3 linked regions of the Bombyx mori genome follow. The protein of the gene in region 1 purifies or fractionates together with the protein of each later gene. This does not show direct contact. Links are inferred from orthologs where the notes say so. Each region holds a gene or a part of one and is shown on either strand. Other genes may lie near its edges. The genes, in order: U6 snRNA-associated Sm-like protein LSm6, squamous cell carcinoma antigen recognized by T-cells 3 and LSM1-like protein.

Region 1 (4,282 bases):
GCAAGGGCACTAGGAAAAGCACTAGATCAACGAGATACAAACCTAAAACACCTGCTCCACCGCCATTGAAGCAGCCGGCGCCGCGGGGCAGAGGACGCAGGAGTCTATTCAAAAGGCAGCCATTGAAAGCACCAACAGCTACAGCGACTGTTGTTACAAGTGATTCAGTATTTTATCAGGTCTGTTCAATTATTTAATCCAATTAAAATCTGTAGTTAGATATACAACAGCTGTAGAAATATACCTTTTTTTTTATTTTTCAATAATCTTGAGGCTATATCGCATACTAATTATAGTTTAAAAACTGATTAGAGATTAATTTAATTTAAAAAACCCTAACTTATTATTCACAGTAAACATGAAAACTTGAAAAATTACCTCGGTTCTGCTTTGAATAGTCTGTGGTAATTTTTTCAGGGTATGTACATGCAAGTTGGTGATATTGTTTCGATGACTGACATTGATGGTGGCACATACTATGCCCAAATTAGAGGCTTCCTAACTGATGAGTACTGTGAGAAGAGTGCAGCTGTTACTTGGTTATTACCTACAAAAGCGAGCCCACCTCCAGAGAAATGTTTTGATCCTGCTACATATATCATTGGTATGAGCTTTTAATAATATTTTAATTAGAAATACAGATATTTGCAACAGGCAGAAGTAGGTGATTAAAGTATTTATTCAATATCTAAGGCATTTTGGGTGATTTTTTTCATTTTGTAAATTTAGTGCTTTAGATTTTCCACTTGTAATAATAGTGACTCATTAAATGTGTATTCGATCAAAGCTCGTGAATAGCAGAAAACGAAATAAGTCGCTTGACACGGCATTTCTAAAAAGCCTGCATTGTTTGATTTCACTTCCTCTCGTCTTGTTTCAATCTATATCATGTAATTTCATCCCAATATAATGAATATAATGAAATAAACCAACTTAATTAAATTCAGCTTAATTTTTTATTTTTATTTTGTAAATATGATTTTTACTAACTCAATACTGGCAACAATAGCATCACGAAAACTCAACTGCCATATAGCAAAAAAAAGAATAGTGTATATAAAAAATGTGACAGTTAAGGTTAATATTGCTGTAAATTTTCAGGCCCTGAAGAAGAGCTGCCTCGGAAACTGGAATACATGGAATTTGTGATGCATGCTCCATCTGATTACTACAAAGCGAGCAACAGTCCATACCCACTGACTGATAATGAACTGAATAATTATACTGGTTTTGTATGGACTTCGATGGAAGCTAAAGAGAGAACGTAGACTTTTATATTTAAGCAAAGTGAACATTTTGTTACAAAAAAATACTGTTTATGTTTAGTTTTATTACCCCATATACCCCGTAGTTAACATTTATTTAAATTTAGAGCACAATTTGAATTTCGATATCATTCACAGTTATAATTTTTTTTTTTTTTTTCCCTACCTAAGCTGATAGCCCTAGCGGCTGTCAGCGTAACCCTAACTTTAGTAGGTGAGCTCACGGGGCTCAAACCTGACGATGTTGCTAACACGAACCCTAGCAAGAGCCGTGCTTCGCAGAATCTACCACCGGATCGGAAACGCGACCCACTGAGAAGATCCGGCGAGAAACTCAGTGGGCTGTGTCTGAGAGTTAATTTACTCGTCGAGCCCTTCGTCGCAAGCGACGGGTTCGACGAGAACGGTGACCGGTGCTTTAAGTACCTAAAAGCACCGTTAGTGGATCAGGAGGATCCGAGATGACGTGTTTTGGGCGACGTCGACTGCTTTCCATTCTGTCCGCAGGATCGGGAATGTAGTTACCAGCGGCCACGATGAGAGGGTTCTCGTGTCGTGCCGCTTTATCGAAGTGGACAGTTATCAATCATTCAATAACACACATCATTCACTTTAATCATTCAAACCAACCAACATTTTTTTTCCTCCAGAAAATTTGGTATAAGTATTCATAGTAGTAAGTAGTAACTATGCTGTTTCCCTAGATCACTGATATTTTTTTGCCTATCTTTCAATGCCCTTGAAGAAGTGGAGCGTATGGAAGCCCAATTATTTTCAGTTAACCTCTTGGGTATTGCATTTTTACCCTACCAAGAAGTTGTTCAAACTTTGGAAAAAGGATAATAGTAAGTCTGTTGGCGCAACAACTTGTGTGTATGGTGGATGCAAAAACTTCCATCCATACCTCTTGTAGCTTAAAGACGGTCGATTGTACCATATGAGGTTGAGCGTTGTCATATAGGAGAAGTGTGGACAAGCGATTAAGAAGGGCAGGCTGGAGATACAAAAGCTTCTTCATCATTGTATCCTGTTCCTCACCATACACATCTGTAGTAATGATGCTATTTGGTAGGAAGCTGTGATGAATTATACCAGAACAAAGCCACTAAACAGTGAACATGACATATTTAGAGATAGATTTTCATTTGAGGCATTGCCTTTGTACTGAACCTCTAGTCCATGTAATGTCCGAGTGCAATAATTATTCTAGCGCCCTCTAGTAAGCGTGCAATCAAGTTGGACTAGGAACAAATCTAACTGCACCAGGAGGACGGGACGGCGCGTCGGCGGCTGCGGACTGCGATGCGGTCCGCATTTTCGTCGTCGCTGTCGTCGCCGAACATACTGTTGAAGAGCAACCCGGTCGGCGGTGTATCGCGTTCCGACCCGGCAGGCTGGTTCTGGCCCAGCGGGGTATCCCGGAACACCAGCGGCACCACCCGGGCGGCCTGGTAGGGCCGCCGTACCGCGGAGACCGACGTCGTTGGTCGTCGACTATCGCCTCGACGACCCGTCGGTCGGGCGTCCTCGGGGTGGCGCCGCGTGTCTGGTTGTAGTGTTGACCGCGGGAACCCCCCTACACTGAACGGGTTCTGACCCCGGACGGAGATCGGACGTCGGGTGTAAGAGTGCAGGGGAGTCGTTTGGTGGGTGGGCCCTAAAATCCTTGGGCCCGCGATCTGCTCTCAACACCTGCAGATCGCTGAGTCTCACATACCCCGCGCGCCCCCTAGGCGCGGGGACCTCGTAGGAGGTTCGGCCCCCGGCCCGAAAAAAAAAAAAAAAAAAAGGAACAAATCTAACTGATTCATTAAGAATGCAGAGGCCGGTGCACCCTAAAACCGCAGCGCGCATCTGCAACTCACACACACCTCGCACCATAGGTAAAGTCGCCTCTAGTTCTGAATCAGGGTGTGTTTGCAACCCGCTTGATGACCGCTTATGATTATAAACAATAATCCATTTTTCATCGCAAATGACCAGCTTGATGTGACCGCTTATGATTATAAACAACATAATTCATCGTAGATGACAATATGCTTCAAGATACCCTAATGGGGTGACGATCGTTCAGTTCGTGTGGGGGTGCCACATATCAAGTTTTGCCCACCAACTTGACCCAAATGAACTAATATTCTTCTGATCCTAACGTTGAAAGCTGCAAAATGTTTTAAATCAAAACTTCTGTGCTGAACCGTACAGGCCAATCGTGCGTTCTTTTGTAGTGTTCTTTCCGTACATACACATTATTTCTTAAATACCAAACATAATATGAGCCGTTTTGCGGCATTGCCACGGCGACGGAACTCTCCATATTCACTCTTTTCTATCGTGTACATATTGATGTAAGATACATTATATTACAAATGTAGTGAAAACAAAACACTAATCAACAAACAAATAACTGGATTTGAAAATAGAATGTCAAACTTCTCGGCATCCTCCAAAAAGTCCACTGAAAAAGTCTCAGTAAATGACCACCATTTTACTGAGATTATTTTTCATCTCATAACATCTCATTTCAATTCATTACATTTCATTTCATGCCATGTTTCATAGTAATCAACTTCATTTCATTTCATAATATTAATACAATTTTTCATTTTAAAAAATTCATTAAAATTAAAATAAGACGACCTAAAGGTATTAGATACCAAGTCATAAAAACCTTTAAAAAAAGATCAAAAGTAATCAAAACACCCGCTTTGACCAATTTGAAAATTTTTAAGTTTCATTTAATGTATTTCGTGTCTTCAATTTCATCAGAATAATAAATAAACACAAAAAATGAGTCGTAAGGAAGCTTTGTCCTCGTTTATACAGCAGATTCACGGTCGCCCAGTTGTCGTTAAATTAAACAGCGGCGTTGACTATAGAGGTTTGTTTTCCTTTCAAATTTTATTTATTAAGTTAGTAATAACAATCACTTCGTCTTTTAAGAACCACATAGCTCTAAAATACAATTTAAAAAAAATGATATCATCTGTTTAGTTTTATGAGATATAAAAATGGATTTG
Region 2 (3,655 bases), on another chromosome or scaffold:
TTTCTTATTATCATTTGTTTTATCAGTATCGTTTTTGTTTGTCATATTTTCCTTCAAGGCTTGATAATTCTTCCTCCACTCCCGTATTTTTAACTGAAAAATTAATTTTAAAATAACTTTTAATTTTCATTCTGAAACTACATCGTCTGAATTATTTTCAATAAATAAATAAAAAACATTTGATTTAATTTCACAAATCCGATCTGACCTCTGAGGTTAACATTGCTATGGTAAATCAATCAATATAGCTTCTTCAGTTGTAATTAGATTTTTTAAACTTATTCCTAGACAAGGATTTGTACAATACTGTTCCAAAATCCCTTGTAACGCTGAGGCAACATTCAATTCTCCGACCTTATAAATCACTCTGCCAATGCCGATCCCAAACTCGGATGAGAAAAGAGGAGAGCTGAGTTGGAGTTCGACCTTTTCGCAGTGAAATAGTAAACACCGAATGTCTGGCGAATACTGAGAACTAAATCTCTTCTAAAAGCACTGCCGTGGAATAACGCGAGAGCCCACCATGTGTATTATCCCAAGAAAGCCTCATGAGGCCATGAATCTCAGCATTGAGGATTATCGATGCAAGGAAACCAATTGTCGAGTAAATTAACCCACAGACACAGCCCACTGAGTTTCTCTGCGGATCTCCTCATCTGGTCTTAGATTTTGCGAAGCACTGCTCTTCTACGGTTCGTGTCAGCAACAACGTTAGGTTTGAGCCCCGTGAGCTCATCTACCCGCCCGTTGACACTGGTCTCTCAAGACCATCAGCTAAGGAAGGAAAAAAAAAAAACACTCTGCCACTTTACGAATCATACAGATTGACAAACCTCACAAGTTTCTTGACACTCCTTACTGGTGTCCAGCTTCCCGTAGTCTCGTTCGTAATCAGTCCAGAGGCGCGCTATGGCCGGGGGGTAGTCGGTGACCGACCTCAACGCGCGTCTCAGCAGATCCCGGAACTTGAACTCGGACAGCGGAGGAGACCGGCTACTTTCTAATTGTATCAAAGCTTCCCAATACTTGGACATGGTTTTATTGAAGCCATATTCTAAAAAAGATAATTGATTATCAATTATTATTATCGATCGGTTTATTGTTATTGTCTATTCAGTGAGGTGATTGAAATAAAAATTGAAGCTTTCTTCATATACTTAGTTTTATGGAGTTAATTTAATCTATTTTTACCGGCCAGTATATCTATTTATCGTTTTTGAATAATTTACTAGCTTAGGATAAACCGAACATTATACTTTTTCAATGGAACGTCGGATAACTGGTATACAAAATAATGACTATCATGTTTAAAGTCAGTAAGATAGATATTTTTTTGTGTTTGTGGACTACAGTAGCTACTATGTTTTTAATATAAGTTTATAATATAATATTATGTAATTTCTCGTCTGCTCGTTATACAAGACAGCCCTTGAAATGTAGATGTCACTTTTTTTTTTGAGGCGAAAAAAAGCAAAGGAAGATGAAAAGCAAGCCCAAGTAATTTTAAATTAAAATCATTATCGCAGTTCAATTTCTGTAAATAAACAACTTACTGAATAATTCTTCAAAGATCTCTTTCCCTCGTTTTGGTGAATTCAAGAATTTGTATTCAATTCTTGCCCAATACAATGGTATCTCACAATCATTCGCTTCATCGCCCCATGCCTATGACACCGCAAAAATTCAATTAAATAAAATACGGATATCTAAAATAGGAGATCATTTGCTATGGACGCCTGCATTAAGGAAGTTCTCTTCAATCTTCAAAAAAAAAAACATAATTGAACAACGAATATACGTAACTCTATTTAAAAGGCCAATTTTTTATTGAGTTGCCTCACAACTGTATAAATTCAATGAGTATGAGAAAATTAGTAATGTGTTGAATGAACAGAATTCCAAAAATGTTCTAATTGAAATTTAAGTACGCTTAAAATAAATGATAAAATTCAAACATATAAAAACTGTAGTTTCTCAAATACGAAGCAAACAAGTAGAAAAGTAGAAAAAAAAAAGAAAAACAACAATAGATCCACAAACTTTTACCACAGACAACAGACACTTGTGTAGAAACACAAATTTTTGAATGAAACGCGAAGATTTAAATTATCTTTTATTTTATTGCTTAGATTGGTGGACGAGCTCACAGCCCACCTGGTGTGTTACTGGAGCGCATAGACATCTACAACGTAAATGCGCCACCCACCTCGAGTTAAGTTCTAAGGTCTCAAGTATAGTTACAACGGCTGCCCCACCCTTCAAACCGAATCGCATTACTGCTTCACGCCTGAAATAGGCAGAGTGGTCGCACCCACCCGCGCGGACTCACAAGAGGTCCTACCACCAGTAAAAAAACGTGCAAAAATTATCTACGTGCAAACTATTCAGATTTCGTTGGTTACCTCAGCAAGCGAGTCCCAGGCCAGCCTGAATGTGCGCCTCAACCGCTCAATCTGATCGTCGTCACTGAACTTCGTGTTGCGGCGCACGTACTCGAGATAGTTCAGCCATAGCATTTCAGCCTCCTTGTAAGATTCCAGACCTTTCGATAAGGCAGTCTCGAAGATCGACTTCACCTGATTTCCAAAAAAAATTAATTTTGTGTGTTAGTCAACAAGCTAATTTATTTCATATTATATGTAAACGGTATATATCTGTTTATTGAAATGAATGATAAAAAAATGCTATTTTTAGTACGTTATTACAAAGCTAAGTCGTACACTGTGTGCATGACTAATTTGTACGTTATTACAAAGTTAAGTCGTACACTGTGTGCATTACAAATAAAAATCTTACGTTACGGACGTTTTTTCCTGGTTAGGGTACCCCTCCGCATCGTCCCATAAGGAACTTCGTTCCAAAAAAAAAGGAAATTCTATCATTGATCAATTGTTTACAATTTATTTGACGAACCTCGTCGAAGTCTTTCTCCTCGTGTTCAGCCTGCTGCATCTTGAGGGTCCAAAAGGTGTGCTTCTGCGGACAGCGCCGCGTGCACAGCTCGAGGACGCGCCAGTACGTCGCGCGTGATGACGTCACCTGGGTGTGCTTCGCGAACTCGACCAGCAACTCGAACACGGCCGGATTGAGCAGACATTCGTACGTCGCCCGGTCGTACAGGAGCTTTATTGGTGGCCAGAAGAAAAAATATATCTTTCTTATACCTTTAAACGAGCAATTCTTGTATATATATAATCTGAATCACGAAAACGGCTCCAACGATTTTCTTAAAATTTAGTATACAGGGGATTTCGGGGGCGATAAATCGATTTAGCTACGATTTATTTTCAGAAAATGTTGTTTTATTCGTGTTTTCAATGATCAACTTTAGCCGACATCTGTTGGCGAATAATAATACTTGTTTACGCATCAACTCCTCTTTCGCAAAGTCGGGAAAGACGCAGGCAGCGCGGCGAGGGAGGGGGTGGCAAACCGGCGGAATGGCGAGCTCCGCGACGCGGACAAAACACACAACCACCTTCACTTCTGAACAGGACTCAACAGCTACAAGACGCGCAATATTATTACATACTTTCACAATATTACTTTCAAATTAAAATCAAAGGGAATTCACTAGTATTCGTAATTTAACGGCAGACTTCACAAACCACCTAAGAAAAATCACAAAGGAAATACAGTCTGAAATTCACAATCA
Region 3 (3,650 bases), on another chromosome or scaffold:
CGGACTATCTGCTGTAAATCCTTTGATTCGAATCTATTGAGTGAAGTCTGTCTCCCAGCAAAAGTAGTAGTGCACGCACTAGTCAGGTAGGGTGACAATAAAAAAGTAGATGAGAAAAGAAGGAAACCAGGGTTTGTGTCGTAAATTCAGAACATTCACTAGGGGACATGTTTCTACGAAAAAGCGGTAAGACACGATAGCCCTCTTATTGTGACTGCCTCTAACATACAATCCACTCAGTCCACTAAAATTATAGTGTGATTTTTGTGACATGATTGTATATTTTGGCAAGGAATCAGTCATGCTTTCCTGCCAGAGGGCATTATACAAAATAATTGACACTTCGTTCTCAACATTCAACCAGGTAAAGGACTATGTTACAAAAATTCCTATCTTTTTGCAAAATATCATTTAAATTCGCTAAGATTTGCAGATTGTGTAACCAAAACAGTTTTTTTTTTATACTAACATAAAATTAATTTATGTATTTAGTAAAATTACAAATAAATAAAAGCCACAGAAAAGAAAAAAAATCAATATTATAATAATTTTAGTTCACATTATTACAGCCTTTTAACAAATATAAATTTTAATATATTTCCGAAAACTTAAAACATATCATCGTGTCCAAGATCTGCTAGTAAATTAAGCCCTCTTTCTTTTAAAGCTTTTGATAACAATTTTTGTTGATCAATCTTCGCATCTTGTTCTCTTCTTTGAGCATCTAGTATTTCATCTACTGATACTTCCGTTAGAGGGAGATTTTCTTCTTTGTCTTTGTCCTAAAAAAGAAATATGTTAATTCAATAGTATTTTTAATGTTATCTATTTTACTTTTGATATGCAATTAAAGTTCAAAATGAAACCATATTTTAATATTATGTTTAATAAATTCTTAGACATTGGTTATCAACAAGTGGTTATGTCTTTATTGATTTTAAATTGTTCTATTATTGTTGTACTTATTTCACAAAAACTTTACCAGTTTTACTTTAATACAGTAAATAGTGGCACTAACTTCATTGTTACCATCAATAAATATTACAAGTACTTATTGTTTCCATATCACCCTGTTCTTTTGGTATCTATAACTATTCTATTTTTTATTGATATGCAAATAAACTCAGCTCACTTCGTAATAGGTGGTTACTATGTTACACAAATATCTCTATGACTGCCAGTTACTGGGCTTGAGACAAGAGGTCACATATTGGTCTCATTGAAAAAACAACTGTAATTTAAAAATTAAACTAAAAACATGCTTATATTGCAAACCCAACTAACTATTTAGTCAGACTAAGTAAAAATTTAAGAGCAAAGTTATGAAATTATTGTATTCTTATCAGTCCATAATGCATGTGCACATTTTTTAATTAATCAGACATCTTAAAGTCAGTGAAAATTATGTTCAAAGATTAAATTACATATTAACCAATATACATACAACCCCAACATTGCAAGTTAATAAAAGCATGATAATAGGTAATAACTCTATTGCATTGCAATTACAGTTATTGCTAAAACATAGTAACATTTCAAATATTCACACAACTCTGAGTTTAGAGCTAGCAATACAGAAATAAATATTTTTCCATAATAAATATTTTAGAATATGTTTCAATGTAGTTAAGTTTACAATTCACTTTTGCCTCCGTAAGCTGTCCATTCATTGTGCTGATAAGGTTGGCAGCAAGACAGGTTAAAAAATTTGTTTGGACTAAATTGGGTATAAGTGGAAGGTAAGACTGCTAAGGACAGAAAAAATAAGCTGTAGTAATAGTCCCAAATGGCTAGTCTTATGAATAAAAGTATTACAACTTTAATAACATTTTAAAAATCAAAATAGCTATACATACTATTTCACCAAGTAGAACAACATTCTCTCCTCTAACAATGAAAATGCCTCTCGGAATATCACCGTATTCTTTGCCAACGTGTATTCGTTCTATTGTCTTGTGGAGCACTAGATTAGCGAATTGATCCACGCAGCGTAAATACCCGATAAGCGTCCTTCCGTCACGCAGCAACACCATTAGTTTCTCTTTACAAAATAATAATCGGTTACATTGTATTCAAATAAACAGTCAAGGAAGCACAGGTTCGAATAGTGGGCACCTACTGTCTAATTCGTCGAGAAGATGCGCCGTCCCAGCTAAAGGGTTTGTATTACTAGACATTTTAATTGATAGTATTTATTCAATTTTATTCATAAAATAAAGTAAAATTTATAATTTTAGCGAAATTTCGAAAGTTTGCTAATTTTGATGTCAATTCTGTCAATCTTTTATTCGTTCATTAGACAAGCAGAGGGAACTATTTCATACAAGCATGTGCTTTAAAAGACAGACCCGAAGCAAATTATTATTCTATTGCTTTGCGCGAGAACTGAATAGAAATATATTTAAAAAAAGATGTTAATAACGACATGGAGTTGTATGAGAAGATATGAACTAAAGGAGATAATAAAATGAGTTAATAAAAATTGTTGGATATATGATAAAAGTAATTTAAAATCTCAATAAAATGGTAAAGAATTATTGATAGTTCTATAGAATTTATAATCGAAGTCATGCCCAACGTTTATGTTCCATTTTCTCACATTTGTTGCAGATACTAATTGTTTAAGCCTGAGGTACCACTAAATCAACAAAATAAATCGATTCACACAACTTAACACTTAGCTTTATCGGCAAAAAGTTTCATAATTGCAACTTTCATTGTGCTACACGCCACATTTATTCATGCCGCACAAATATTTTAACTGTACATAAAGTGGTGAAATTTATTTTCAATGGCCATCAATACCCTTTTAAAGCTTTAGTTTGACAGTTTATATGTTTTTGTTTCCAATGTCACAACATGTAGGTAGTTTAGAGAAGCCATGGAGTTAATAAGTACCAGAATAGTAACTCTATGAGAGAAGCTTTGCCATCAGAAACTTGTCACTGTCTTATTAGACTTTTTGGCGGAAACGCGAGGAGCGAAGTTGTGTGAATTGTTTTATTTTGTCTATTTCGTATTTCGTTTGTTCGTATGTTTAAATGTGTAACAACGGTGATTTATTAACTGTTTAATATCGGTGAAAGTGCACAAAAGTTGTAAAATGAAACAAAGGCGCTGGACGTAGGTTCTCGGGATCCTCCAAAAAGTTTATTGAAAAAGTCTCAGTAAATAACCACCATTTTACTGAGTTTATATTTCATCCTATATCATTTTATTTGATTAATATTCGATGTTCCCAATTAATCAACTCCATTTCATTTCACTTTTAAAATTTAAAAAAAAAAAAAAAGAATAGGCTGTATGGTATGATACATCTGCCTTTCCAGTTGGAAAAATAGTACTACAACTACTGTTCTGTCACTGTCAATCAATCAAACTAACTCGGGCTTTCACGTACGATATTAATTTTATTTTATTTTTTTGAAATATTATTTATTGCCGAGGATAAAATCAAGCGAAGTGATATGGTACGCTGACTGTTAGAGTGTGTGTGGTATTTAAATGCTTTTTATATAGTTATTGTCTGTATTTGTAATAAGTCGTAAAATGGAACAAGACGATGAGATCAAATCCGGTTGTTTACTATTTCCCCCTGCAGGTGGAAATGTGTTTAGCAAATTTCCAAAAAAGGTAATACAATAATTGAT

Evidence for each region.
Region 2: the proteins of U6 snRNA-associated Sm-like protein LSm6 (region 1) and squamous cell carcinoma antigen recognized by T-cells 3 purify together in Homo sapiens (affinity purification with mass spectrometry; 4 studies listed by BioGRID and IntAct, counting the BioPlex papers as one, with this or other methods). This does not show direct contact. The link is inferred for Bombyx mori from reciprocal best matches to the Homo sapiens genes LSM6 and SART3.
Region 3: the proteins of U6 snRNA-associated Sm-like protein LSm6 (region 1) and LSM1-like protein purify together in Homo sapiens (co-immunoprecipitation; 3 studies listed by BioGRID and IntAct, counting the BioPlex papers as one, with this or other methods). This does not show direct contact. The link is inferred for Bombyx mori from reciprocal best matches to the Homo sapiens genes LSM6 and LSM1.

What each region holds. Positions count from the first base shown.
Region 1 is NC_085134.1:2,613,392-2,617,673, forward strand, and holds the start of U6 snRNA-associated Sm-like protein LSm6, read left to right. Parts: upstream 1-1,414; 5' UTR 1,415-4,052; coding exon 4,053-4,143; intron 4,144-4,282. Other genes in the region: GATA zinc finger domain-containing protein 1, read left to right, coding at 1-179, 418-604, 1,102-1,268. UniProt on the Homo sapiens protein: Plays a role in pre-mRNA splicing as component of the U4/U6-U5 tri-snRNP complex that is involved in spliceosome assembly, and as component of the precatalytic spliceosome (spliceosome B complex).
Region 2 is NC_085122.1:6,468,410-6,472,064, forward strand, and holds part of squamous cell carcinoma antigen recognized by T-cells 3, read right to left. Parts: intron 3,124-3,655; coding exon 2,914-3,123; intron 2,577-2,913; coding exon 2,403-2,576; intron 1,666-2,402; coding exon 1,554-1,665; intron 1,055-1,553; coding exon 834-1,054; intron 94-833; coding exon 1-93. UniProt on the Homo sapiens protein: U6 snRNP-binding protein that functions as a recycling factor of the splicing machinery. Promotes the initial reassembly of U4 and U6 snRNPs following their ejection from the spliceosome during its maturation.
Region 3 is NC_085129.1:3,372,902-3,376,551, reverse strand, and holds LSM1-like protein, read right to left. Parts: upstream 2,251-3,650; 5' UTR 2,178-2,250; coding exon 2,120-2,177; intron 2,042-2,119; coding exon 1,857-2,041; intron 783-1,856; coding exon 609-782; 3' UTR 538-608; downstream 1-537. Other genes in the region: uncharacterized protein LOC101746363, read left to right, coding at 3,550-3,633. UniProt on the Homo sapiens protein: Plays a role in the degradation of histone mRNAs, the only eukaryotic mRNAs that are not polyadenylated. Probably also part of an LSm subunits-containing complex involved in the general process of mRNA degradation.